2 linked regions of the Oryzias latipes genome follow. The protein of the gene in region 2 interacts with the protein of the main gene of each other region in a biochemical or structural test. Links are inferred from orthologs where the notes say so. Each region holds a gene or a part of one and is shown on either strand. Other genes may lie near its edges. The genes, in order: arcn1 and copb1.

Region 1 (12,676 bases), on a different chromosome or scaffold from region 2:
CAAGAGGGGAGGGTCTCGTGTCCATGCGGCAACCATGGGAGGGGGACCACTGCCAAGTAGCCCCTCCCCCAAGGTGCATTGCAGGCTGACACCCCCCCGGATAGCCCCAACCATATTGTCAGCCAAGTCATTACTATTAAAGTTTTTAGCAATGGTTTCCCTGGGCTGCACAGTGACATAGTGGTTCTCGTCTCACAGTGAGAAGGCTGTGGTTTGAGGGTTTGTCCAAGCACTCTGGCTTCCTCCCACAGTCCAAAAACATGCTGCTCAGGTTAATTGGTGTCTCTAAAATTGCCCCTAGGTCTGAGTGTGAGTTTGGGTGATTGTTTGGTCCTGCAACTGAATTGTGACCTGATAAGGGTGCACCCCAATTTTCATTACATGTCCATTAACTTGTGTAATACAACAGACTTACTGCCCAAAATGTTGTTGTCCAGAGCCAAGATGATGAGGGACTTGAGGAATAAAAAAAAGTGAATAAAATCTATTTTTAGCTTGTTATCGGTTCCTAAGGTTTTAAAATGTAATTGGATTTTAATTACTGAAATAAATTTCCTGCCATCCTTCATAAATACTTTGAGGTCATTTAGTTTTTTTGTACAAATGTGTTTAGTCCGTTTTTTTCCTGCAGAACTCTCGGATTTGTTGACATGCAGTCATTTAACTAACTTTAGGTACTTTTTCTGTCTTTCTTTGTTTTTTTTTTGTGCATGTGTGTGTCACAGGTCCTGGTTTTCTGGTTTTTGTTGTCCTCTTTAAAAAAAAAAAACAACTTATATTCAAACATTATGGACTAAACCAAACAAAGCTAAGAGTTGCTTCCCAAGTTGTGTTTTCAGTGCTTTAATAGTAACAAAAAGAGCCAATCTAGCCACAGGGGTTGCAAGCCAGTAACTTCTGTGCCGGTCCCAAGCCCGGATAAATAGAGAGGGTTGCGTCAGGAAGGGCATCCGGCGTAAAAATTGCCAAAATAACCATGCGAATCATCCACAACACTTTAGACATACCGGATCGGTCGAGGCCCGGGTTAACAACGACCGCCACCGATGCTGTTAACCTACAGGGTGTCGGTGGAAATTTGACTACTGTTGGTCGAAGAAAGAGGGGAGGCAGAAGGGTCCGTTGCCAGAGAGAGAAGGGAAAAGGCAGGAACATAGGTTTGAGAATAGGGACTCTTAACGTTGGCACAATGACAGGGAAAGGCAGAGAGCTGGCAGACATGATGGAGAGAAGGAAGGTAGATGTACTGTGTGTGCAGGAGACAAGGTGGAAGGGCAGCAAGGCACGTAGTATTGGAGGAGGATACAAACTTTTCTATCATGGTGTTGATAGGAAGAGAAACGGGGTAGGAGTGATTCTGAAGGGGGAGTTTGTAAACAGTGTTCTAGAGGTGAAAAGAGTCTCAGACAGGATGATGAGCCTAAAGTTAGAAATTGAAGGGGTGATGGTGAATGTAGTCAGTGGGTATGCGCCACAGGTTGGCTGTGAGTTAGAAGTGAAGGAGAGATTCTGGAGTGAGTTGGATGAGGTCATAGAGAGTTTTCCCAGAGGAGAGAGAGTTGTTATTGGAGCAGACTTTAATGGGCATGTTGGTGAGGGCAACAGAGGTGATGAGGAGGTGATGGGCAGGTTTGGTGTGAAGGAAAGGAATCTGGAGGGACAGATGGTGGTGGACTTTGCGAAGAGGATGGAAATGGCTGTAGTCAACACTTACTTCCAGAAGAGAGAGGAACATAGAGTGACATACAGAAGTGGAGGTAGGAGTACTCAGGTGGACTACATCCTATGTAGACGAGGTCATTTGAGAGAGGTTAATGACTGCAAAGGGGTGGTAGGAGAGAGTGTAGCCAGACAGCACCGCATGGTGGTGTGTAAGATGACTCTGGAGGTCAGGAAGAAGAAGAGAGGGAAAACAGAAAAGAAGACCAAGTGGTGGAAGCTACAGAATGAAGAAACTTGTGAGGAATTTAGGCAGAAGTTGAGGCAGGTCCTGGGTGGTCAGGATGAACTTCCAGATGACTGGGAAACTACAGCAGAGATTATCAGGGAAACAGGTAGGAAGGTGCTAGGTGTGTCATCTGGAAAGAGGAAAGACGGTAAAGAGACTTGGTGGTGGAATGAGGAAGTACAGGAATGCGTCCAGAGGAAGAGGTTGGCTAAAAGGAAGTGGGATGTAGAAAGGACTGAGGAAGGTAGACAGGAGTACAAGGAAGCGCAGCGTAGAGTGAAGAGAGAGGTGGCAAAGGCCAAACAGAAAGCTTACGATGAGCTATATGACAGGTTAGACACAAAGGAAGGAGAGAAGGACTTGTACAGGCTAGCCAGACAGAGAGACAGAGATGGGAAGGACGTGCAACAGATAAGGGTGATTAAGGACAGAGATGGAAAGGTGCTAACAACCCAAGAGAGTGTACAGAAAAGATGGAAGGAGTATTTTGAGGAGCTGATGAACGAGGAAAATGACAGGGAAAGAAGGGAGGAAGATGTGGTTGTTGTGGAGCAGGAAGTAGCAGAGATTGGAAAGGATGAGGTTAGGAAGGCTCTGAAAAGGATGAAGAGCGGAAAGGCCGTTGGTCCTGATGACGTACCTGTGGAGGTATGGAAGTGCCTAGGAGAGACAGCAGTGGAATTTCTAACGAGGTTGTTCAATAGGATTTTAGAGAGTGAGAAGATGCCTGAGGAATGGAGGAGAAGCGTTCTGGTTCCGATCTTTAAAAACAAGGGTGACATGCAGAACTGCAGCAACTATAGAGGAATAAAGTTGATGAGCCACACAATGAAGCTGTGGGAAAGAGTAGTGGAAGCCAGGCTTAGGAAGAAGGTGGAGATTTGTGAGCAGCAGTATGGTTTCATGCCCCGTAAGAGCACCACTGATGCCATTTTTGCTTTGAGAATGTTGATGGAAAAGTACAGAGAAGGTCAGAAGGAGCTGCATTGTGTGTTCGTAGATTTAGAGAAGGCGTATGACAGGGTGCCGAGGGAGGAGCTGTGGTACTGTATGAGGTCGTCTGGAGTGGCAGAGAAGTATGTCAGAGTAGTTCAGGACATGTATGAGAGAAGTATGACGGTGGTGAGATGTGCTGTAGGTCAGACAGAGGAGTTCAAGGTGGAGGTGGGACTACACCAAGGATCAGCTTTGAGTCCTTTTTTGTTTGCTATGCTGATGGACAGGCTGACAGACGAGGTAAGACAGGAATCTCCCTGGACAATGATGTTTGCGGATGACATTGTAATTTGCAGTGAGAGTAGAGAGCAGGTGGAGGAACAGCTAGAGAGGTGGAGGTTTGCTCTGGAAAGAAGAGGTATGAAGGTCAGTCGTAGTAAGACAGAATACATGTGTCTGAACGAGAGGGATCAAGGTAGAAGCGTTAGGTTACAGGGGACTGAGGTGAAGAAGGTGCAGGAGTTTAAGTACTTGGGGTCAACAGTTCAGTGTGATGGGGATTGTGGAAAAGAGGTGAAGAGGCGAGTGCAGGCAGGTTGGAGCGGTTGGAGGAAAGTGTCAGGAGTGTTGTGTGACAGAAGAGTGCCAGCAAGACTCAAAGGAAAGGTGTACAAGACAGTGGTGAGACCAGCTCTGCTCTATGGGTTAGAGACGGTAGCAGTGAGACAGAGACAAGAGGCTGAGATGGAGGTAGCAGAGATGAAGATGTTGAGGTTCTCCTTAGGAGTGACCAGGTTAGACAGGATAAGGAACGAGTACATCAGAGGGACGGCTCATGTTGCCTGTGTTAGCGACAAAGTCAGAGAAGCCAGACTGAGATGGTTTGGACATGTTCAGAGGAGGGATAGTGGATATATTGGTAGAAGGATGTTGGAGATGGAGCTGCCTGGCCGGAGGGCAAGAGGACGGCCAAAGAGGAGATATATGGATGTCTTAACAGAGGACATGAAGTTGGCTAACGTTAGGGTAGAAGATGTTCATGATAGAGTGAGGTGGAAAAGGATGATTCGCTGTGGCGACCCCTGATGGGAAAAGCCGAAAGAGAAAGAAGAATAGTAACAAAAAGAGCCAATGATTGAACCAAATCACCTCTTTTGTAATGAGAAAATATTATTATTGTGGTCTACTTCTGCAGGTATCATAAAGAAAGTACCTTAATGATGAAACGGGGCTCATGTTACACATTTCAATTCTGAAAATTGTCATGTGTATGTAATTTGTAAAGTAGAACAGTTTGGATGTAAATTCACAGCACTGGTCGGAGGTTCCTGATGGGGCTCGTGCCGTTGTTCCCTCTCACTTCTTAGTGAGTAGTGGGTGCGACGCAAAACGCTCGCGGCACGCGTCTAAAACCGGATCAATCTATGGAGAAACTGGGCGCTCGAGCGTTTCCACTCGACAGCTCCAGGTTTTGGTGTCCGCGTGACACGTCACTGTTTTCCACGCAAGCTGATCAGGGCCGCGCGCTCCTTCCGGTGGAGACGTGGCTCTGCGGCGGCCATATTGACGCTAGCAGTCCGTGGAAGCCGCGCGCGTTGTCAGAGACTACAGTCCCTGGACCAAACTCAGAACCGGAACCACGAGAAACGGACTCCAGCGGAATCCCGAAGACAGACCACAATGGTAGGTGTCTGTCCAGAACCGGACCCCCCCTGCTCCAGTACGCGTCGGGCCTGCAACTAGCATAACATTGGCTAGCAGCTAGCTGCTGCGCTTCGGAACGGAACTAAAGTCAGGAGACGCAACTGTCCTCTGGTTTGGTTAAGTTTGGGTCCAGCACAGACTAATAGTGCAGTTGGACACGTTGTCCATTTAATTAGCTAGTACAGATAGCGAGGCTAGTGTTGTCAAGCCGGACTGGACCGACCGAACTTGGTTGATGACGGGTCGTGTTCGGCCCGGGAGTAATTCTGTTCTGTGTTGGCTGTGAATGTCATTAAAGTTCTGTTAGTGTGACCCTAGCTGCTGTTTGTCAGTACCAGAGTTCGTATAAGATTTTAGAAGAACAAGAACAGTTCGGTCCTGCTCTGTGTGGCAGCTGCCAAAGACACACAACAGTGTCATGATTTGGCACACCGTCCATGTTCGAGGTTCCGAAGGGTCCAGTGGGGAACTAATGGCTCCTGTCATCAGGTCAGAGTTCTGAGGTTTGAAGATCTGGAGTTTTCTGTGATTCACCCAAAATATGCCCCAATTCATCTGGGAAGCATTCCAGACGCTAAGGTTTGTGGGTAAATGAATCGCATGAACTGGAGTGCACTCTGGGTACGTTCATTTATTTATTTGAGGTAAAACGTCAATATTTTTTTCATAAACGTCAATAATACCGCATAAACAATTTAAGTTGAATTTATTTGTAAATATAAACGACTCAGAACACAGCAGTAAACAAGACTAAATACTTCATAATGAGCATGAGAAAAACAACATGCACTCTGTCTATCAGAAGTGTACAGCTCGGTTTCACCTAGAGGTTCTGTCAACTGGCACCTGGTGATCACCTTGTGGTCGCCGTGGTGACCATTAGGCCTGTTAACTTGTTTCCCCGAATGTCCCTTGTCTGCCTAAGCTGAAGTGAAAATATGACAGACTAAAAATGAGGATGTTGCCAAACTAAATGTCTCTCCGATGGAAGGGAGTCATTCACAAATGAATGAAACTACATGTTCATTCATTCCAACCCCATTATTTTCAAAGACCCACTCCAATGGAAATTGTATTTGTGGTGTCATTAACTTGTTCTTGTAGCACTTATAATGAAGGACATGTATCAAGAAAACTAAGCTGAAAATTTCATTTCTGAGTAATTCTTTATTCAAATCGTTGTGAATCAGAATGGGGGGGGGGGGGGGGGTGTGATGATGTGTTACATACAAACTACAATCATTAGGCCACAGGCTCCCTGCTCCAGTCCAGTCTGATGCATCCACCTGGGATCTGGATCCAAACTGAAGGGCTGGATGCCGTCGAATTAAAAACATTTTCTTTTTTTCTCTACCAAACAAATGCAACCACAAGAAGGCACAGTCCAGTGCTTTCATGTGCCTGTCAAAGGTGTGTCAGGAAGGGCATCTGGCATAAAACCAAAGCAAAATCAAATATGAGAATCTCAATCAAATTTTCCTTTTGTGTGGTTTAATTAACTCTTTAACACTGGAGCTTTAGCTTTAGTGTTGACATTCTTTCGACTACGGTAACTCTTCAACAGTTGATGCAATTAACGTAATTCCAGTGGATTCTGCAGCGGAGAAAAGCATCTTTATCTTGACATCCAACACTTACAGTAGTGATATGCTTGCCCAATCAACAAGTCACCCAATCAACACTTCTGTCATGCAGTAAAGCAGCTTTGCACCCAGATTGATGCAAAGCTGGTCTTCTCTGCTTCAGAATCAGCTGATTAACTGATCGCCAAACATCAAAGATTTACCATCAAAAAGAGAGAATTGTTTAGACGTCACTGGAGACATCTCTGGTGTTAATGACTTGTTACTGGTACTGTTGACCTAAAGCGGGGGTGTCAAACTCATTTTCACCGAGGGCCTCATCAGTATAGAGGCTGTCCTCAAAGGGCCAGATAAAACTTATACATGTAACTAAAAATAAACGTAACTGCTCCTTGATGTTAAATAACTCATTTATTTATTTGTTTTAACTTTTTGAAGTGACCATTACAGTTGCATAGAAAACATGTTTGCTTGTTACTCTAGCATAAATCCTTTGAAATGTTGTCCTCTTATTAAAACCCACGATCAAACTGTCCACGTGAATAAATAACATCAAACTGAGCTAGAAAGAACACGTATGACACGTGTAACATTTTACAATAAAAGGCTGCACACAGCCGTGCATCCAACTGATGGTTTGATGACAACAATTTGTCTGCATACACACATAAGACCTGCAAACATTGAATAATGACAACTGCAGCTACACATTAATAATATGTAATCAACTAAAAAAAATATTATAAGAGATTAAAAACGTTTATGCTGTGGCAGGCCACATAAAATATGGCGGGCCACATTTGGCCCCCGGGCCTTGAGTTTGACACATGTGACCTAGAGGGTTCATGTGCACTAATGCTGGTCAAAGGAGGAGAGGAAGGAGGTGTGGCAAAACTGGTACCTTGCTTTTTCTCTCTTTGGCAAAAAGAGCAAATGAAGTGTGGCAGTTTAGGAGAAGAACCTTTGATTATAGAGACTTTAACAGGGAAAATACAGTTGGCCAATACGTTAGAAAAAACATGGATGTACTGTGTGTTTGACAGACCAGATGAAAATGCAGGACGTTTTATTAACTGGGAGCAGAGTTGAAGCTTATTTCTAATGGTGTGTGCAGAAAGCAGAACAAAGAAGGTATGATCCACAACCCGCCGACGACATCTATACATCTATAACGACTCGACTTTTCATGGGATAAATGGGAATCAGCTGATACCAAAGCAGAGGAAAGCGTCTTTTCATATCTGCTTTGTACTGGCGGCTGAATGAGACCACTTTGTCTGTGACAGAATCCACTGATTGTGTAAATACTTCACTACTGTAAAGTGTCCAAAGAAAGTCAGTCAATTTATTTATATGCACAATATACCCATCCTTCTTTGCAAAAGTTTGGATGTTGTCTGTTTTCGTGGGAAAAACGCAGACACACTGCAGAGGCCGGCTCTAGGTTGATATCATGAAATGGGCGGCACCCAAAAGGAGAGAAAGGCGGAGCCTCAGAGATCGAGCCGTCTTACTTCATGGTTGGAAAATGAGCTGCAAAAATAACTAATATTTCTTTAAAAAAATAGCTCTTTTGTGTGGCAAATGTAATATGATATCATATGCATGGACATAGTTTACTATAAAAGGATTAAGAATAGCATCATATGGGCCTTTAAGTACTTTTACAAGAAATCACAAAAATTTGTCGATTCCTAATTATTTAAAATTCACAGAATGATTCCAAATCATTTATGGGTCCTAATTGATGCATCTATTAATCTAATAATCTAGTGTCAGATGTGACTTGTGTTGAGTCTGTAAAAATGAAAGGTGAGAGCAACCATGTTGTTGTTTTAGAGACCATTGCTCTGACGCAGAGCTGGAGGTGAAGGTAGAGATGTTGAAGTTCCCTTTGGGAATGACCACGATGGATCAGGAGTGAATCCATCAGAGGAAACGGCTGATGTGGGATGTTTTGGAGATGAATTTAAGGAAGCAGATTGAGACGTTGACAAGGGTGACAGTTGTTGTGTTGGTAGGAAAACTGAGGTTTGAGCAACTAGGACGGAGGCCTTTAGGAAGACAAAGAAGGAGGTTTTTGGAAGTAGAGGAAGAGGACGACGTGATGAAGATGGTTGGTGTGAGCAGAGGATAGGATGGAGGTGGATGATGCACTGTGACAACCACTAAAGGAAGCAGCCAAAATGAAGAAGAAAAAAATCATGCTAGTTCCTGTCTTTGTTGGTGACTGAGTCCTCCCTTTTAAACAATTGGGGAGGACCATCTGTGGATATTAAGTGAAGCTAAAGTGGGAAGCAGAAGGACTGCGACTTCAAGACTCAGGAGATTTGATCAAGCAAGTTGGGTAGAGAAGATTCTAAGGGTAGGTACAGATGGGAGTGGTCATACACAAACAGGTTCGTGTTCTTAAAAAAGCCTGACATGCCTCTGTGTCTGCACTCAAAGTATTGATGTCGACATTTAAAGCAGATGAAGGTGAAAGAGTCTGCCTCACTCAAGAACTTTCTAATGTTAGACAGTAAACCCTGATGATCCCTACTTTCCTGCACAGGTGCTGTTGGCAGCGGCGGTGTGCACCAAGGCTGGAAAGGCCATCGTATCGCGGCAGTTTGTGGAGATGACTCGGACCAGGATCGAGGGACTCCTGGCTGCCTTCCCAAAGCTCATGAACACAGGCAAGCAGCACACCTTTGTGGAGACGGACAGCGTCCGCTACGTCTACCAGCCTCTGGAGAAGCTCTACATGGTTCTGATCACCACCAAAAACAGCAACATTCTAGAGGACCTGGAGACCCTGAGGCTCTTCTCCCGTGTGGTAAGAAGCTGACATGCTGCTGAATTCCTGATGCCTGCATCATTCTATCATGATTATAGGTTTTCCAGCAGTAGCCTTACAAACTGATCATCTTTACTACAATTGCAATTTCTGCAAACTAAGGACGGATCAAATTTGCTTTAGTGTAACAATCTCTTTTTTTTTTCTTGAAAAGCCTCTTTGTATTATATTATCCAGATGACAGCCTTTAAACCTACTTCTATGATGGAATCTACCTGGATGAATGAGAGTCTTCACAGACATTTTTCTACTAGTTTCCTTTCTGTTCAACCAGTTTTGAGAAAAGGCTTACCAGCTGTTTCTGGGTTAGCTGGTCACTCATCTCATCCATAATCTGGACACAAAGAAGTTCCTTCTGCATCTGCTTTCTCTCAGTCTACACAAAAGATCCAGTTATCTTGTCCTAAATTTAACCAGTACCAAAAATAAAGTCCCAGATCAGTGGTTTTTGACAGAAATTATTTAATTCAAATACCGTGTTAGGAAGTCCAGTTATGTACAAACACAACTTCCTGTCAGTATTTGATATGTTACATTTTTTTTAACTTGACAAATTTTGGGAGTGGGTTTTATTTATTTATATTTTGTTTCAATTATTTATTTTTAAATGTAACTCGAATTTTAGCATTGCAAAGGTTGTGTTTGTTTTTTATGGCCAATGAGCCCAATTTCCCATTTGGCACATAGTAAAGGAGTAGAGGAGGAAAATACAGAAAACAAAATCACCAAAAGGAGAGAGCTAATAAATATGACTAATTTGACACCAACATCTGGTGACTAACACTCCAACTTTTACTCGCCAAAGAGGAGACCTAAACAAAAAAATCAGAAATGTGTCGAGTGGCTTGTCCGCTTGGTCTGTGCTGTATTCTACATCATTGAATTTTTCAGGAAAAATGGGTCTGGATTCTTCTGGGTTACGGAGTCGAAATGAATGAACTCTGGTCAAATTATTGGTCCCTCTTTAGTCAATGTTTTGTAATATTTATCAACTGTGTAAGTGTCCATGGCAGGATCAGATGAGAAATAGCTGGTACTTTTTTCCTAGTTTGCTTGGGTTTTCAGTCCACTGCAGTGTTGTCGGTGCAACTTTCAGCAGGAGGTTCTGCACGTGTGCAGAAAAAGCTCACAACGCTGTCGTCCATGCAGATCCCAGAGTACTGTCGCGTGTTGGAGGAGAGCGAGATCTCCGAGCACTGCTTTGACCTGATCTTCGCCTTCGACGAGATTGTGGCTCTCGGCTACAGGGAGAACGTCAACCTGGCCCAGATCCGCACCTTCACAGAGATGGACTCTCATGAAGAGAAGGTTTTCCGTGCTGTCAGAGAGGTAAGCTGCTCCTCAGATGACAGCCAACTGAAGAATGAAGAGCTGATGCTGTTCAGTGCTTGACATGCAGATTTGCTGATAACAGACACAGGAGCGCGAGGCTAAGGCAGAAATGCGGAGGAAGGCCAAGGAACTTCAGCAGGCCAGGAGGGACGCTGAGCGCTCTGGGAAGAAAGCGCCTGGCTTTGGCGGCTTTGGCAGCGGTGGCATGAGCAGCGTTTCCTCAGGGTCCATCATCACAGACAACATCGTGGAGCCCGAGAAGCCCAAGATGACGCCGGCTCCACTCCGGTAATGAGAGAACACGGGGTTCACCTGGCGCTCCTTGTCGTGGCAGTGGCCAATTGCTTTTCCTTTGTCTGTGCAGGTCGAGTGGACCCAGCAGAGCTCTAAAGCTGGGCGCCAAAGGCAAGGAGGTGGACAACTTTGTGGACCAGCTCAAATCTGAAGGCGAGACCATCATGCCGACGGGGAAGAGGGGCTCAGACGTGTCCAAAGCTCTACCCCCACCTATCAACGTGGAGAGGTACATGACCTGCTCTTTTTAGGTAGTTTGTTTCTGATGTTAGTTCCTGGAAACACCCAGATGAATACCTCCCACAAAAACTCAAACTATTGACACCTTTGTAAAAAGACCTAAATCTAAAGATCCACGTTTCTGTGACCCTAACCTTCTGCAGCATTGTCCCACTGACAACAGGGTGGGGGTGGTGAGGTGTGTACTTGGTGAATGCTAAAGCTCCCACTCTGCTCTCCAACTCCTTCAAGACATGCTTCAGCATTCTTATGCTCTCGTGTTTGCTCTTCTGCTCGTTCAAACATTTATTTCCTGAGAACCGCTGGACTTCACTACAGTCATGGTGCGCTGATTTACACATGAACTGGACCGACTGTGACGTCATCCATAGAATAACGAATAACTAAACGAAGTCAGTGGCCATTTTGAACGTTACTAACACTGCCATGTTGGAACCAGACCGTGATTGGTTCAAGTCGGTCTGTGGCAACCACTCACCAATCAGCCGGTTGAAAGTGCGCTCTGGAGAATCGGTCAAACGTTTCAAACGTGAGACGTGAGACCACATTATTTTATTGAGCCAACTGACAGGCAAGTTTCTACATAGAATAATTTGACTACAGAACAGATATTGAATAATAGAAATAAGATTATCAGATGTTAAGAAAGGTTTCAGATCCAGAACGGTTCTTCTGACCAATAGAATGACTAACAGCAGTTTATTTCTCCATAGAGGTCGACCACGAAGCAAATAGTCCGTTTTTTGTGAAAAAGTTATCCAAACCAAAAAAATAACAAGATGAAAGTACTGAAACTGGTTGAATATGTATTTCTTTTGTAAGTGATCTTGTTATAAGCGAGTTAATGGCCTTTGAAGTGTCCATCATCAACATTAATGCACTTCGAGGAAGCGACAGGCTTCCATGTCGTGCGTTAATTTCTGATAATTCACACGTCTTTGCCCAATACGCCTTACAGGATGGAATACCTGGAGGTAGAAAGTAATCCCAGTAATACTTAATTAATCCTTTAGTGATCTTTCAGTTTTCTGCAAAGCTGCCTTCATGTTTTCTTCCATAAAAATGAAAGCACAGAGATTCCTCGCTATATTACAATTCATCATTCACTGTTTCACGGGTTTGTAAGTGCGGTTTTGCATACTTTGTTTTCTTATTTAACGGTGTTCTGCTGTTGACCTTGTCGACCAGTCACCTCTCTGCCGTGTCTCCTGAATGCGTTCAGTTTGCCACATTTACATGAATCTTGGATCCTGAGCAGATCTTTGCTTTCATTCTATAAAACACTTATTTTTCTACAAAGGTTTAAACCTGGAGAGTTAAAGCGTGAGAGAAAAGTGTGATTATGTTCATGCCTGTCTGAGAAACGAACTGAATTGTTTCTGGGATGTAGCCCTTCTTTGACTGGTAACGCTTTACCCCTTTAGATATTTAAAATGATTTATGGACGTTTTTTGGTTCAGGAACTTTTCTTACACCCTGCATTTCTAAAAATCTGTCGTTTTTTTTCTTTTTTTTTTCTTGTGAATTAAAAACTTGAAGAGCTCAAATATCTGGCAGAAAATAGATCATTTTGTAAAGGTTTGCTCTTCGGCGCACAGTCGCCCGTGAGGACCACTTAGAGTGCCTGCTAGACATGCTCTAAAAATATCACAGATGGAATTCAATTTAATTTTTACGTTTCATTCAAGTTAGGAGTACAGCGGATCACTATCCACGGTTCCGCACACGTTCCACGGACAGTTTAGACACATGTGAAACCCAAATCTGTCATGAAGAAGGCTGAATCTATGGAAATGGGCG
Region 2 (12,676 bases):
CCTATCAATACTCACTGTTGTCCACTGTTTAATGTCCTTAATTGTTTTCTGTGTCCTCCTAAGCACTGGGCAGTAAAATGGACCAAGTACTATACTTACTAAAATCAACTTCAAGTGTGCTACTTTTTTGTTGAGGGATCTTGATAAACAAAAATGAGATCTTTTAAAGGAATGTAAGCATCCGCAAAATTCACAAAAAAATATTTTAATCTTACATCAGAATTCCCCTCTGGGAAAGTCCTGTTTGCAGACAACACCACAGTCATTGGGATCTTCAGGGATGGCGATGAGTCTGCTGACAGAGGAGAAGTGGAACAGGTAATCCTCTGGTGCAGCAAGATCCACCTGGAGTTTAACTCACTTACAACATTGGAGATGACAGTGGACTTCAGGAAGACCCCACCCCCCTCAACCTACAATTCTCAACAGCACTGTCCCCTTAACCCTTTTGCTATCCTATGACCCCACCCTTACATTGACGTGTTCTCCCTACCATGACAAAGGTGGATAAAGGTGAAGAGGATTTCATGTAATCCATGAACACCAGTGAAGATCACAAATCATTGAAGAAAAAAGGTTCAACACACTGTCTTGTGGGGTCTAGATGACCCAACTCCCAATGTTAACGTGCCAAGGATAGCACAAGGGTTACCAGACTCACGCAGCTTCCTAGGGTCCTCCATCTCACGCGACCTTGAGTGGACCTATCACACCGACTCACTCCGGAAAAAAGCTCAGCAGAGGTTGTACTTCCTGTGACAACTTAAGAAGTTCAACCTGCCTCAGGAGCTGCTGACGATCTTCTACACAGAAATAATCCAGTGTTCCCTGACTACATCCATCGTCGTTGGATCTGCAACTAGAGATTCATCAGATCTGCTGAGAGGATCACTGGTTCCAGCCTTCCCTCCATCCAGGATCTGTTCTGGTCCAGGGTCAGGAAGCGGGCTGGTAGAATCGCTAAAGACTCCTCTCATCTTGGACACTACCTTTTCAGCCTCCTCACGTTAGGGTGGAGTTTCAGAACAATGTGCGCCAAAACCACTCGCCACAAAGTCAGCTTCTTCCCCCGACCTGTCACTTTCATGAACTTCTGACCAATCACAGATTATGGAAAAGAGACATGAGAATTGTCACACAGAAGTACTGTTGTATTTTATTTATTTTTATTTATCGTTATATTTTTCTTCATATTTTTTTTTTTTTTTTTGTCTTTACCTTTTTCCCATTGTTGCTTGGTTTGCACGAGAGCATGAGACACCAAAGCTAATAAATTCCTTGTATATGCACTGTACTTGGCCAAGAAAGCCGATTCTGATAAAACCATGAACACATATTTCCAAAAGTAATTTACTTACTGTGTAGTTAAGATTAAATTAAGAAGCAGATCCACCTGTGACAGAGTACATAATAAATCTATTCCTCACGTTGTTCCAAATTTGTCAACACTCTATAAAATTAGTGACTTTTGGGCTTATTTTATGGGTTCATGTCCCTCTACCTTTTTTTTTTTGACTACCAAATATTTCATCACAGACTAGACACGTCTTCTGTTAAAAAATAGCTGTTTTTTTCTGTTTCAGTACTTAATTTTTGTTCTAATGTTAAATTATCATAACTTTTAAGTGTACACATCCCACCAGCTGTGTGAAGGGTATGTCACATCGTCAAAAGCTTTAAAGTACTCGACTCCTTTTTTCAGCCACTTTGATTTGGATGTAGAATCAAGCTGTTACCAAAAAGATGTCACTTCATTCACTTAAAAAAGGCTGTAGTTTTAAAATAAACCATACATTGTCAGTGATGGCCAACAGCTAAGATATTGACCCTAAATTTGTTGAAAAAACGATTAATTCAATAGAGACTCAATTCCACAGAGAAAAAAACAAAAAAGTTATTGAATGGAGTCTGGGAATGTGGGAAACTTGGATCGCAGGCCTCAGCCATGACTAGTGATAAGAAGTTTTGATGATAATAACAGGAAACACACAGATGGATAAAATTACTTCATTTCCCACCAGAGGTGCTGAATAGAGAAAAACAGAGCCATGCTAACATGGGAAGATTTTCTGTTCCCCAAAATCTAACAATGCTTAAGGATGAGAACAAATAAACAATGCAATAAAATAAAAATAAAAACGGACAAACCAAACTTGTCACCAATGTAAGCTGGTAAAAAAAAGCACACTAGTGTTTAATATAGCCCTTTGACTTGTCATCATCTGACAAATGACTTTTTGACTGCAGACATTTTACCATAGCGCAGCAGGAAAAGCACTTATGTGATTAATAAAATTAACAATGACTGCACATGATTAAATTTAACCCGGTCTGGCATTGTGCATGCTGGCTCATTGCTCTAATGTCATTTGTTGCACCTGCTGCCAGAACAAATGTCTGCTGTGAAAAGGTCAGGGAAAAAGTGGAGCACAGCACTTTTGTCAGTGATGCAGATTGCATGGTGAACTTCTTGCTGTGTTTTACATTGCAGCGTACAGAGCAATAAATGGCATAGAAAAAAGGTCAATGGCAAAAAGAGTCTCTCTCCTGCACCACAAAATGATGCATGAACTTTATTCAAGTGGCCTAGGTTTTTGCATTTCATTTGAGATCCTATATTTGTTTGCAAATTCAACTTGCGAACAACTTTTCAGTGGACTTTCAAACATCTCAAAATCCATGCAAACAGACTATGCATGGTTCCTTCTTGTTAATCAGTGTAGTAGTTGCAAAATAAAATTAACATAATGTTTTTTAACTGAATACTTTCAAAACCCCTTCCTCAGCCGAAGAGTTTCAGATTCCCCCAGAAAAATCTAAATTTCCTGATTGAGTAGGAAAATAAGGTGTGCTTTTTTAGTTGCTACACTATATGTAGTCCTCCACTGAAGAGCAGCCGTCCACTTTTCAACATGAACAGAGAAAGTTAGTGTATTCCCATAGTAAAAAGACTCTTTCAAGTTCTTCAGAGGTTAAAAATGTCTCACCTCAACACAGGTAACACACAGTTTTTCTCTGTTGGAGTCAAGCATGAAAAAAAAAATCCACATTCAGCATCCCGAAAACCAGTCAGAAGATAAAAAAAAAAGAAAGTTTCCTCAGCACAGGAGTATTGATGTTTTCTAGCACTCTGGACAGAAGCCTGGATCAAAGTTGAATATGTTTTTCCCCCAAATTCCAAGAAGAAGGTCAAATTACCCAGCTTAACACACTCTTGTGTTCCTCCAAGATGATTTAACTGAAAATGAGTCCATAAAACAGAAACTGTCAGATCAATACGAGACAAAGGCTTCTCAACATCCACAGTCTTGGAGCAGCTGGAGTAACTTGAGTATAGATTTAATAACTTGCCAAGCGCCTAGTACAAAAAGTAAAAAGGAGACAGACCAGTCATATATGACCTTCCTCTGTTTAATATGAAGTGCTGCTTGTCGTAACCAAAACATCCAGCTCTCGTCAGGAGGATCCTGGCTGAGTGGAGCCATCACACCCTGCAGTGAAAAAGTAGCTGGGCAGGCTTTAGTCTGAAAGCAAACAACCTGAGTGTGGCATCAATCACTTAATGAATCCAGTGCATGTGCCTGTCAAATCAAGAAGGGGAAAAAAAGAAAGATAACACTAACAGGCACTCCCATAACTGTTTGTTGGAAATAAACCCACATACTGGGTTTACTTTAATCAATAATAGTTTAAAAAAAAGCGTGTGTTTTGATTTCTAAACGTTTGTATTTAAATTGTAAATCAAAGAAATGGAAAAATACATTCCCATGTTTAGCGGTCGGTTTATGCGTTGCGCGTTTGAACCTACCGGCGCACCGTAGTTGTGATGTGGCTCAGAGAGCAAGTTTCTTCCACGTCACTAGGAAGTGGAGCTGACGGGGAAAAGGGTACCATCGCTCTTTTCACAGGGACCTTTACACATGTATACGTTTAAAATTGGACATTGAAGGTGACATCGGAGGACACAGACGTACAATAAGGTAGATTATGTTATGCAATTAGTTTAAATGTTGTGAATAATAAGCATTTAGTAACGAGGCGGCTAGCCATCGCAACATTGTCCACCATTTCGTTGCAAGATTAGCCGGTGTTTAGCTAACGCTAAAAATGCGAAAGTAGTAATTCTAACTTAACCAAACTAGCTGCGTATTTGATTTAATTGTTCATTTAACCGGTTAATATACGTTTTTTTCGTGTCTAGCGGTTTGGTGCGCATACTCGTAGCGACATTTAAGTGAAATATAGTTTTTTTTTTTCGGTGTACTACTAGCAGCACTGGCAGGCACCTGTGACTGTATCCCAACGATTTTCTCCTTTTTTTTCTTACCTAGACTGGAAGTTTTATTCGCTTTAAATGAGTTCTTAGTTTTATATATCAGGATAACAGCCCTTTAAAATGTTTATTACATTCAGAGGAATAGTTGGCAAAGACTTTCAGTCAGGGTAAACCTGTAATAATAAATATAGCTCCAAGATTTTTATTTTGAAAAAGTAACTGTTTGATTCAGTTGTTTTTTATCGAGACATGATGGACAAAACTCACTCTGCAATTTTTATACACACAGATGGTTTGATAGCCTTAAAGTATGAAATTATGTTTTTTCAAACATTTATTGTTTAGGTTTAAATGATTTTTACATATAAAAAAGCTGTGTTGTGGCTTGTTTTATTTTTAAATTTGCGTATGTTTGTATAATATTAGCTTCTTTTTCGCTTAACTTTTTAATGAAATATGACACAAAAAATGTCATATTAAAAAAAATATTCTTAGAATTTTCTGCAAAGGGATATCACAATACCAGAAATTAGGCCTGCACAATATACCGCAAATGTATCGTTATCGCAATATCCAGCTCTGCAATATGCATATCGCAAAAGACGGCGAATATCGCAATAAATCGCAAACCCAAAATGTGTTAAAACAATCTTCTAGCAGCTTGAAGCATTTAACGAATCAAATAAATCCCTTTATGCTTTGACCAATCAGATGGACTCCTTCCCATTGTTGACCAATCAGATGGAGGCCTATTATGTTAGATGTTTGTCCCCCATGTCGATGAGAGTCATTTGGAGTATAATTTTTAAACTGTTGCAATGAAATGGCAATGATGTTTTTGTTTATTTTTCTATTTGTTTATTTACCGCAAATTTATCGTTATCGCAACATTGATCACTAATATCGCATATCGCAGGTTTTCCTCATATCGTGCAGCCCTACCAGAAATGTAGTTGTGACAATAATGCTAAAATTAAACTCATTTGGATATGTATATCCAGATGGGAAAAGCGCCACATATCTTTATTATTTTTCTTCTTCTTTTGAGGCCAGGAAATCAATAACTGTTAATCCTTTCAGTCAGCCCTTTTTTTGTGTTAGTTTTCTTATGTTTTCTAATTTAACTATTGATTTCTTCACTTCTTGTCTGACAATTTCACAGTTTTTCTTCTGTTTTTTTTACAGGTATTATCCGAAGAGGGATACTCATTGCAATTTGTTTGGCCATAAACAAGCTCAGCAGCAAAATGACGGCTGCAGAAAACGTTTGTTACACTCTCATCAATGTTCAGTCGGATTCCGAGCCCCCGTCCGAAGTCAGCCTCAAAGCTGATCTAGGTAGAGATATTACTTTTCATGTTGTTCTTAAATTCAAAGCTTTTTTGAATTGGTCTCGATTGATCACACATGATCATACTGGCGATGCTCGATCTGAATTTATCAAACTTATCAGAAAAAGAGAATGTAGGCCTGGTTAATTAGAATAATATACACATTTTTTTCACGTTTTCACATGTTTTCTAGGGATTATTTATCAGAATATCCATAGATAAAATGAATTGGATGCTTTATTACATAGTAGTTCACCAGCTGTGTTTTTTTTTTATCAGTAACTGCTTATTGACAGGGCTTAGAAATGCCACGTCTTCTTAAAATTAAGTGTTAAGTCGATCCTTTTTTTTCATATCAATTATTGTTGCAGCTTTAAAATGAAAGACTTCAGTTGTAAATGTACTTAGATTGAACTGTTTTCACTTAAAAACAATTTTAAAAATTAACAGCAGCTCTGCAGGCAGTTTAGATATGCTTATTCAAGTTAAATGTGCTTCAGTCCGGTTCAAGTTGTCAAAAATAATTTATTTTGTTGAGGTGGTTTTGCAAAACTACAAAATAAGATATTGTTGGCAAATTTATTTTCACATCTTTTCAAATTGATTAAACACTCAAATATTGATCCAATACAACCAGGGCTCCAGACTGCGAGCAATTGGTCGCATTTTGCGACCAAAATTTGAGAGTGTGCGACTAAATTTTACATCCAGTCGCACATGTGCGAGCAGTAAATTTGCCTCCCCCACCCTTCGTATTTTTTTTATACATTAAACGTGGAAGGGGCACGTCAATGATCTATGAAATAATCAATGAGACGCGAGCGCACACGCACGCAGGCAGACACACACACTCGTGCACATACTCATGAAACGCAAGCACGAACACTCTCGCGTGATGCCTGTGTGTTAGGCGGCCACTGCGTGTGAGAAGAATAGGGAAAGTCACTGTGAGTGGCTAAAATGCGTGTAGGGGGAGGGGCCTAGAGCTGACCAACCAATCACAGTGGGGTATATGACTCTTGGGGGCGTGACAATGACAGGGTTTTGCAAGCAGGAAACTTGACAGCCCCCTCCCCGGACCACATTAAGGAGTTCTTTACTTTCCTTTCTAGAACGTATCTATTCGCTCGTAATTTTCTAAATACATGCAGTCCGTGCTGAACTTTTCTCTGGGTCACACAGATCCGGAGGAAGGTTTAGGTTTTGGTTACGGTTACGGCGGCGCATCATACGGGTTACGGCAGCACACCGCACCTGTCCCGCGGGAGTCGGGTCAGCTGAGGAGAATAAATGCCCCACACCTACATGCGTGACAGCTAACGGGGCTTGAACTTTAAACACGCTCGAGCAAAAACAACATTAGTTTTAGACACACTGAAAATACGTGGGGAAAATGCAACGATAGACGTGTTTGAGATGAACCAGCACCTCGCCTGGATCGTTGGGGAGACCAGGCGGGGGGGGGGGGGGGGGGGGGGGGGGGGGGGGGGGGCTGTGAGATGAAAGCGAATCTGCAGCAAGACTGAAGGAGAACAGGAAATTGGAGTTGTCCTTAACATTCAATTTAGATTTAATATTCTTCTCCCCCTTAGTATGATCTGTGTTATTATATATTTTATGATTATTTTAATGTTTTGTAATGTATGTAGCCTTTTTTAATGAATTGGTATTTTAAATTATTTTAATTAATCACTCCACTACAAAAACCATCAGGACACATGTCCCATAATGCATTGTTTTGTAGTCTGTAGGGCAGCTTTCAGTCAGTTCAGTTTCCAGCTGTGTCCGGGTAGGTTTGCCCCTTGCTCCCACCCCTTTCTCGCGATATTTTTGCGATGATTGACAGTTAATGTTGGAGCAAAAACAAATATACATCTCACACCAGGTGATCTGCGCAGCGTTGAGTCCACCTGGGTGATCTCAAACACGCTTGTTGTGCATCTTGGCTGCACCTATTTGGTGTCACAAAGATAAATTTCCATCCGTTTTCTTTACTTATTTGTACTGTCATGACAGCGATGCTTTTGTCAGTTTACCTGTTGTTGCATCTTCAAAAGTGCAGAATAAAATGTGACACTGAATTTGAAACAGCACATTGTAATATCTGCATCTATTATTAAAGTATTTATTAGTAATACAGTGGAAATTAGTAGATTTGGTTAGAATGTTGATTTACGGTGTGCGCCCCTAAATTTTCTGGTTGTGCCCCTAAAATTTTCAGTTAGGGGCCACTGTGCTCCTAGTGAAAAAAGTTAGTCTGGAGCCCTGAATACAACATGATGAAACGATGCATCCAAATAATCTTCTTCTGCAGAGAAGGGAGAGATCAAAGCGAAGACGGAGGCCCTGAAGAAGGTCATCATCATGATCCTGAATGGGGAGAAGTTGCCAGGCCTGCTTATGACCATAATTCGCTTTGTGCTGCCACTTCAAGACCACACCATCAAGAAGCTGCTCCTGGTTTTCTGGGAGATCGTCCCTAAAACGACTCCAGATGGAAAGCTGCTTCAGGAGATGATCCTGGTCTGTGATGCCTACAGAAAGGTAGGCTGCTGCTTGAAGAATTTCTTTATATTATTATAACATGGTTGAGGAAGCCACAAAACATGGCTTTGCCACCATCTACATTCCCAAGACCACCTGATAGCAGCAGAGTAGGGCCTGATTACCGTAATTTCCGGACTACAAGCCGCTACTTTTTTCCTGCGCTTACAGCCCTGCGGCTTATTCAGTGACGCGGCTAATTTATGGATTTAATTAGTGGCCGCCATGTACGTACTTTCGAACTCAGTGAATAGTTTGAATTCTTTATCTAACACCAAGCACAAGACATTTATATTCAACACACCTCTAAGCAGCCAAACAGCATGGACTTGACTTCAGGTCTTAGACACTTCAGTCATGGTTCAAACAAAATGAAACACGCATGCCCGGCCGCATCCCAGAATCCTTTGGTGCCATTAGACCCAACGTGCACCAGATCGCCGCTACAATATGATGAAGCTTTCAAGTTAAAAGCAATTGTTAAAAGCAGCGTAAAAAAGTCCACCGTCACCAACGGGTTTGGAAAAGCCGGTTTGCTGCGTGACGGAGAGAACAGCGCATGGAGTGAATTTACACTCCATTTACGGTTTCTAAGGAAACCGTAAAAGCAGAATTTTGCTTTGAAAAACTCACAGCCTCCGTGTGAGCTGGAGACATCTTCTCCTGCTGATTGAGCTGCGGGGCCGATGGCAGTCTGAAGGCTCCCACACGTAACAACGCACCCGCCCCTCATACACAAAACGTACAGTATTAAGTCCGATTGCTTTGCACAGAAACGATTTGCTCGGTCCACCGGCGCAATGGGGACGAAGTGCTCCTCCTTGAAGCTGCCCTGGCCAGAGGTGTCGGAGTAGATAGGAAGGGGAGACAAGGAGCGCGCGGGGCGGGAGCGGAGCGCAGAGGCGTCCGCGGAGTGCAGAGGCTTCTGAATTCTGACGCACGCGCCGCACTGAGGCGCGCGTATCGCGCTGAGGCGCGCGCTTTTCAGTCGCCGCTGCTGTATTTTACCGGTGTGTTTTTTAACCAGCCCTGTTACTCCCATAACGCTGCCGCGACACAAGCGGAAGGAGAGCTGTACCCGTTCACCCCTCCATGCACTGCTGATACTTGCTCATTCTTAAACACGTACTACAGAATGGCGAGCCGGGCATTGGCCCCGCCTTTAGCCCCTAAGACTCATGGGAAATGTGGAATCGCGGATGTAAATTTCCTCATCATAACTGAGGGATGTAATGTTGATTATATGGTTACTGTTTCTAATTTTATGTATGATACCTAGATTGTCAATAAGTAAAAAAAAAATGAAATAAAAACACCATAACTGAGGAACTTGTGAACAGAATATAGGTCCATGCTGTTTGACAGTTGTTGACATATACAAATACATGAGCCTGAGTCAAAGCTAACTCCACCCACAATGTGCTAATGATTTGCACTCACTCTGGGATGCTGGCCGTGATCTGTCAGGATGACAATATCGCCTAACACATGCGCGGCTTGTACACTGACGCGGCTTGTGTATGTATAAAACTAATTAAACATGTGAAAATGGGTGGGTGCGGCTTGTAATCGGGTGCGCTTTGTAGTCCGGAATTTACGGTAGTCTTTGGATGGGAGACAGCCTGGAACTGCCAGGTGCTGCGAGTTCCCGCCACCACATGGGGGCACTTTCCTCTGTTTCCTTGTACTATAAAGCCAAATCTCATGTGATTCACTATAGTGGCCCTATAGGAATAAACAAACATTGTATTGGATGCAGCAGCTCGGTAAAGTTTGTAGCATTTTTAAACAGACTTTGATTTGAATTTTTAACTTGCTAGTTTGTTTCAATGATCTTTTTAGTCAGTTGTTGGCTTCAGACAGGTTGGTGATTTGACCCACAGGAGACAAGAACTTTATTAGAATCTCTGCATGTGACATCCGACTGTTAAAAACAGATAAAAAAGCACTGTGCTGCATTAGTTTAATTATGATAAACATTTGCAACTTTACATTTATTTCTAAAGATTTTTTTCCACTATTTTTCTTATGGCAAACCCAAATTGTGTCCAGTTTTTGGATAAGCAGTTTAAAATTATATTAATGTACTCTTTGATAATGTTTTCCATCCTGATTTTTAGTCCACATGTTTGTGAAACTTGCCTTTGCAGTGTTTTCTTCCATGAAATGCACTCATTTAAAGCTAAAGGTGTGAAGGTGTGGACCCCTTTAAATATTGAAGCAGTTGTTTTCAAACTTTTTTTTGTAATAACTCAGGATCTTCAACATCCCAACGAGTTCATCCGTGGTTCCACTCTGCGTTTCCTGTGCAAACTGAAGGAGTCGGAGTTGCTGGAACCTCTCATGCCTGCCATCCGCGCCTGCTTGGAGCACCGCCACAGCTATGTGCGCCGCAACGCCGTCCTGGCTATTTACACCATCTACAGGTGCCAGATGCTCATGAATGCATTTTCACATGCATCCCACAGAGTATGCATACTATTAGTCTGAAGATTGTTAAGCAATTTGATCTGTTCAGGAACTTTGAGAATCTGATTCCGGACGCTCCAGAGCTGATCCACGATTTCCTCGTCAATGAGAAAGACGCCAGCTGTAAGAGAAACGCTTTCATGATGCTGATTCATGCAGATCAAGTGAGTAGTGTTTTGGAATCTACCTGTTCCTATTTGTAGCACTAAAATATTCAGATTCAAGGCCAAACTAATTGTTTTTTCATCACCTTCAACAGGATCGAGCTCTGGATTACCTCAGCACATGCATTGACCAAGTGCACACTTTTGGGGACATCCTGCAGCTGGTCATCGTGGAGCTGATTTATAAGGCGAGCCAGGCGCTTGAGCACTACACAGTTTAAAAGCACGAAAACCTACAATCGGATCAGATTTCAAATAGAAGCCCTTTTTGTTTCCCTGTTAGGTTTGCCACGCTAACCCTTCTGAGCGAGCGCGGTTCATCCGCTGCATCTTCAACCTCTTGCAGTCCTCAAGTCCAGCTGTGAAGTACGAAGCTGCAGGCACTCTTGTTACCCTCTCCAGTGCTCCTACAGCTATCAAGGTACATTGTCATGACTTTTATCATCAATTTAGTGAATATATTCTCATATTAGTATAACTCTCAGTTTCCATGCAACACATATACTGCTTAGAGCTGATAGCATACTGTATTTGATCAGTTTCTAAATATGTGGCCTTCTCTGTTGCTCCAGGCTGCTGCCCAATGTTATATTGACTTGATCATTAAAGAGAGTGACAACAACGTGAAGCTGATTGTTCTTGATCGTCTGATTGAACTGAAGGATCATCCCACTCATGAACGGGTTCTCCAGGTGGGTCGACATTTTTAGAAATAAAAGTAAAGTTCCTAAACACTAAAAAAAGAAATTCACATTCAAATGTGGTGAGTTTAAGTTATCAAATGGTCTCTCTTTTTACCAGAAAATTCATTAACATATAGTGAAACATATTGTTTGTCTGGTCGAGACCCAGTTTTCAGTTTGTCAATTGTTCAATCTGCTGAGACTTCTCTTAGTTGCCTCCATATTTTTTTTAGGACCTTGTAATGGACATCCTCCGTGTCCTCAGCACTCCTGACCTGGAAGTCAGAAAGAAGACCTTGCAGCTGGCGCTGGACCTCGTCTCTTCTCGTAACGTGGAGGAGGTCTGCAGCATATTTAGCACATCAGTGTTTGTGTAGGTTTTATTTACAAATTGGAGAAGAATTATAACTTGTTGCAAAATGTTTCTGCTTCTCCTTTCAGTTGGTGATCGTTTTGAAAAAAGAAGTGATCAAGACAAACAATGTCTCAGAGCACGAAGACACTGACAAGTACAGGCAGCTCCTGGTGCGCACTCTCCACTCGTGCAGTGTGCGCTTCCCCGATATGGCGGCCAACGTCATACCTGTGGTAATTTATTCCTCCAACTCTACAAACAGGACAGACATTCTGAAATGCCGTTGGTTCCTCAGCCTCCTAAATGTTCGGAGCGTTTTGGTGAACCTGTTTGTGTTCCAGCTGATGGAGTTCCTGAGCGACACTAACGAGGCGGCGGCTGCTGACGTGCTGGAATTCGTGCGAGAGGCGATTCAGAGGTTCGACAACTTGAGACCTCTGATCATCGAAAAGATGCTGGAAGTGTTTCACGCCATCAAAACGGTCAAGTAAGGCTTTCGACTACAAAGCCATTACATAATGTGGAGAGGGGTTTGCAATAGTGCTGGCTTTGACGACATTTGTGTCACAATGGTGCATTTGCAGGATTTACAGAGGAGCACTTTGGATATTAGGGGAATACTGCAGCACCAAAGAAGACATTCAGAGTGTGATGACAGAAGTACGCAGGTCTTTAGGAGAGGTATGTGAGCGCACTGATGTTCACTTTCACTGCTGCTGGAGTCAGAAGTCACCATCCAAATGTAGAGATGTCTGCACAGTCTGGGAAGCCTCCACCTCTTATAGTCTGATTCCCACATTTCCAATACTCTGTCTGTCTTCAGGCTTTCATCTATTAAACTACATTTAATAACA

What was found.
Region 1: the proteins of copb1 (region 2) and arcn1 form a complex in vitro, tested with the Homo sapiens proteins (2 studies listed by BioGRID). The link is inferred for Oryzias latipes from reciprocal best matches to the Homo sapiens genes COPB1 and ARCN1.

The regions. Positions count from the first base shown.
Region 1 is NC_019871.2:31,550,924-31,563,599, reverse strand, and holds the start of arcn1 (coatomer subunit delta), read left to right. Parts: upstream 1-4,294; 5' UTR 4,295-4,564; coding exon 4,565-4,567; intron 4,568-8,725; coding exon 8,726-8,989; intron 8,990-10,159; coding exon 10,160-10,339; intron 10,340-10,424; coding exon 10,425-10,630; intron 10,631-10,706; coding exon 10,707-10,865; intron 10,866-12,676. UniProt on the Homo sapiens protein: Component of the coatomer, a cytosolic protein complex that binds to dilysine motifs and reversibly associates with Golgi non-clathrin-coated vesicles, which further mediate biosynthetic protein transport from the ER, via the Golgi up to the trans Golgi network.
Region 2 is NC_019861.2:19,355,717-19,368,392, forward strand, and holds the start of copb1 (coatomer subunit beta), read left to right. Parts: upstream 1-3,850; 5' UTR 3,851-3,980; intron 3,981-5,461; 5' UTR 5,462-5,523; coding exon 5,524-5,614; intron 5,615-7,921; coding exon 7,922-8,151; intron 8,152-10,407; coding exon 10,408-10,577; intron 10,578-10,669; coding exon 10,670-10,784; intron 10,785-10,879; coding exon 10,880-10,972; intron 10,973-11,067; coding exon 11,068-11,205; intron 11,206-11,356; coding exon 11,357-11,476; intron 11,477-11,700; coding exon 11,701-11,808; intron 11,809-11,908; coding exon 11,909-12,055; intron 12,056-12,163; coding exon 12,164-12,309; intron 12,310-12,406; coding exon 12,407-12,503; intron 12,504-12,676. UniProt on the Homo sapiens protein: The coatomer is a cytosolic protein complex that binds to dilysine motifs and reversibly associates with Golgi non-clathrin-coated vesicles, which further mediate biosynthetic protein transport from the ER, via the Golgi up to the trans Golgi network.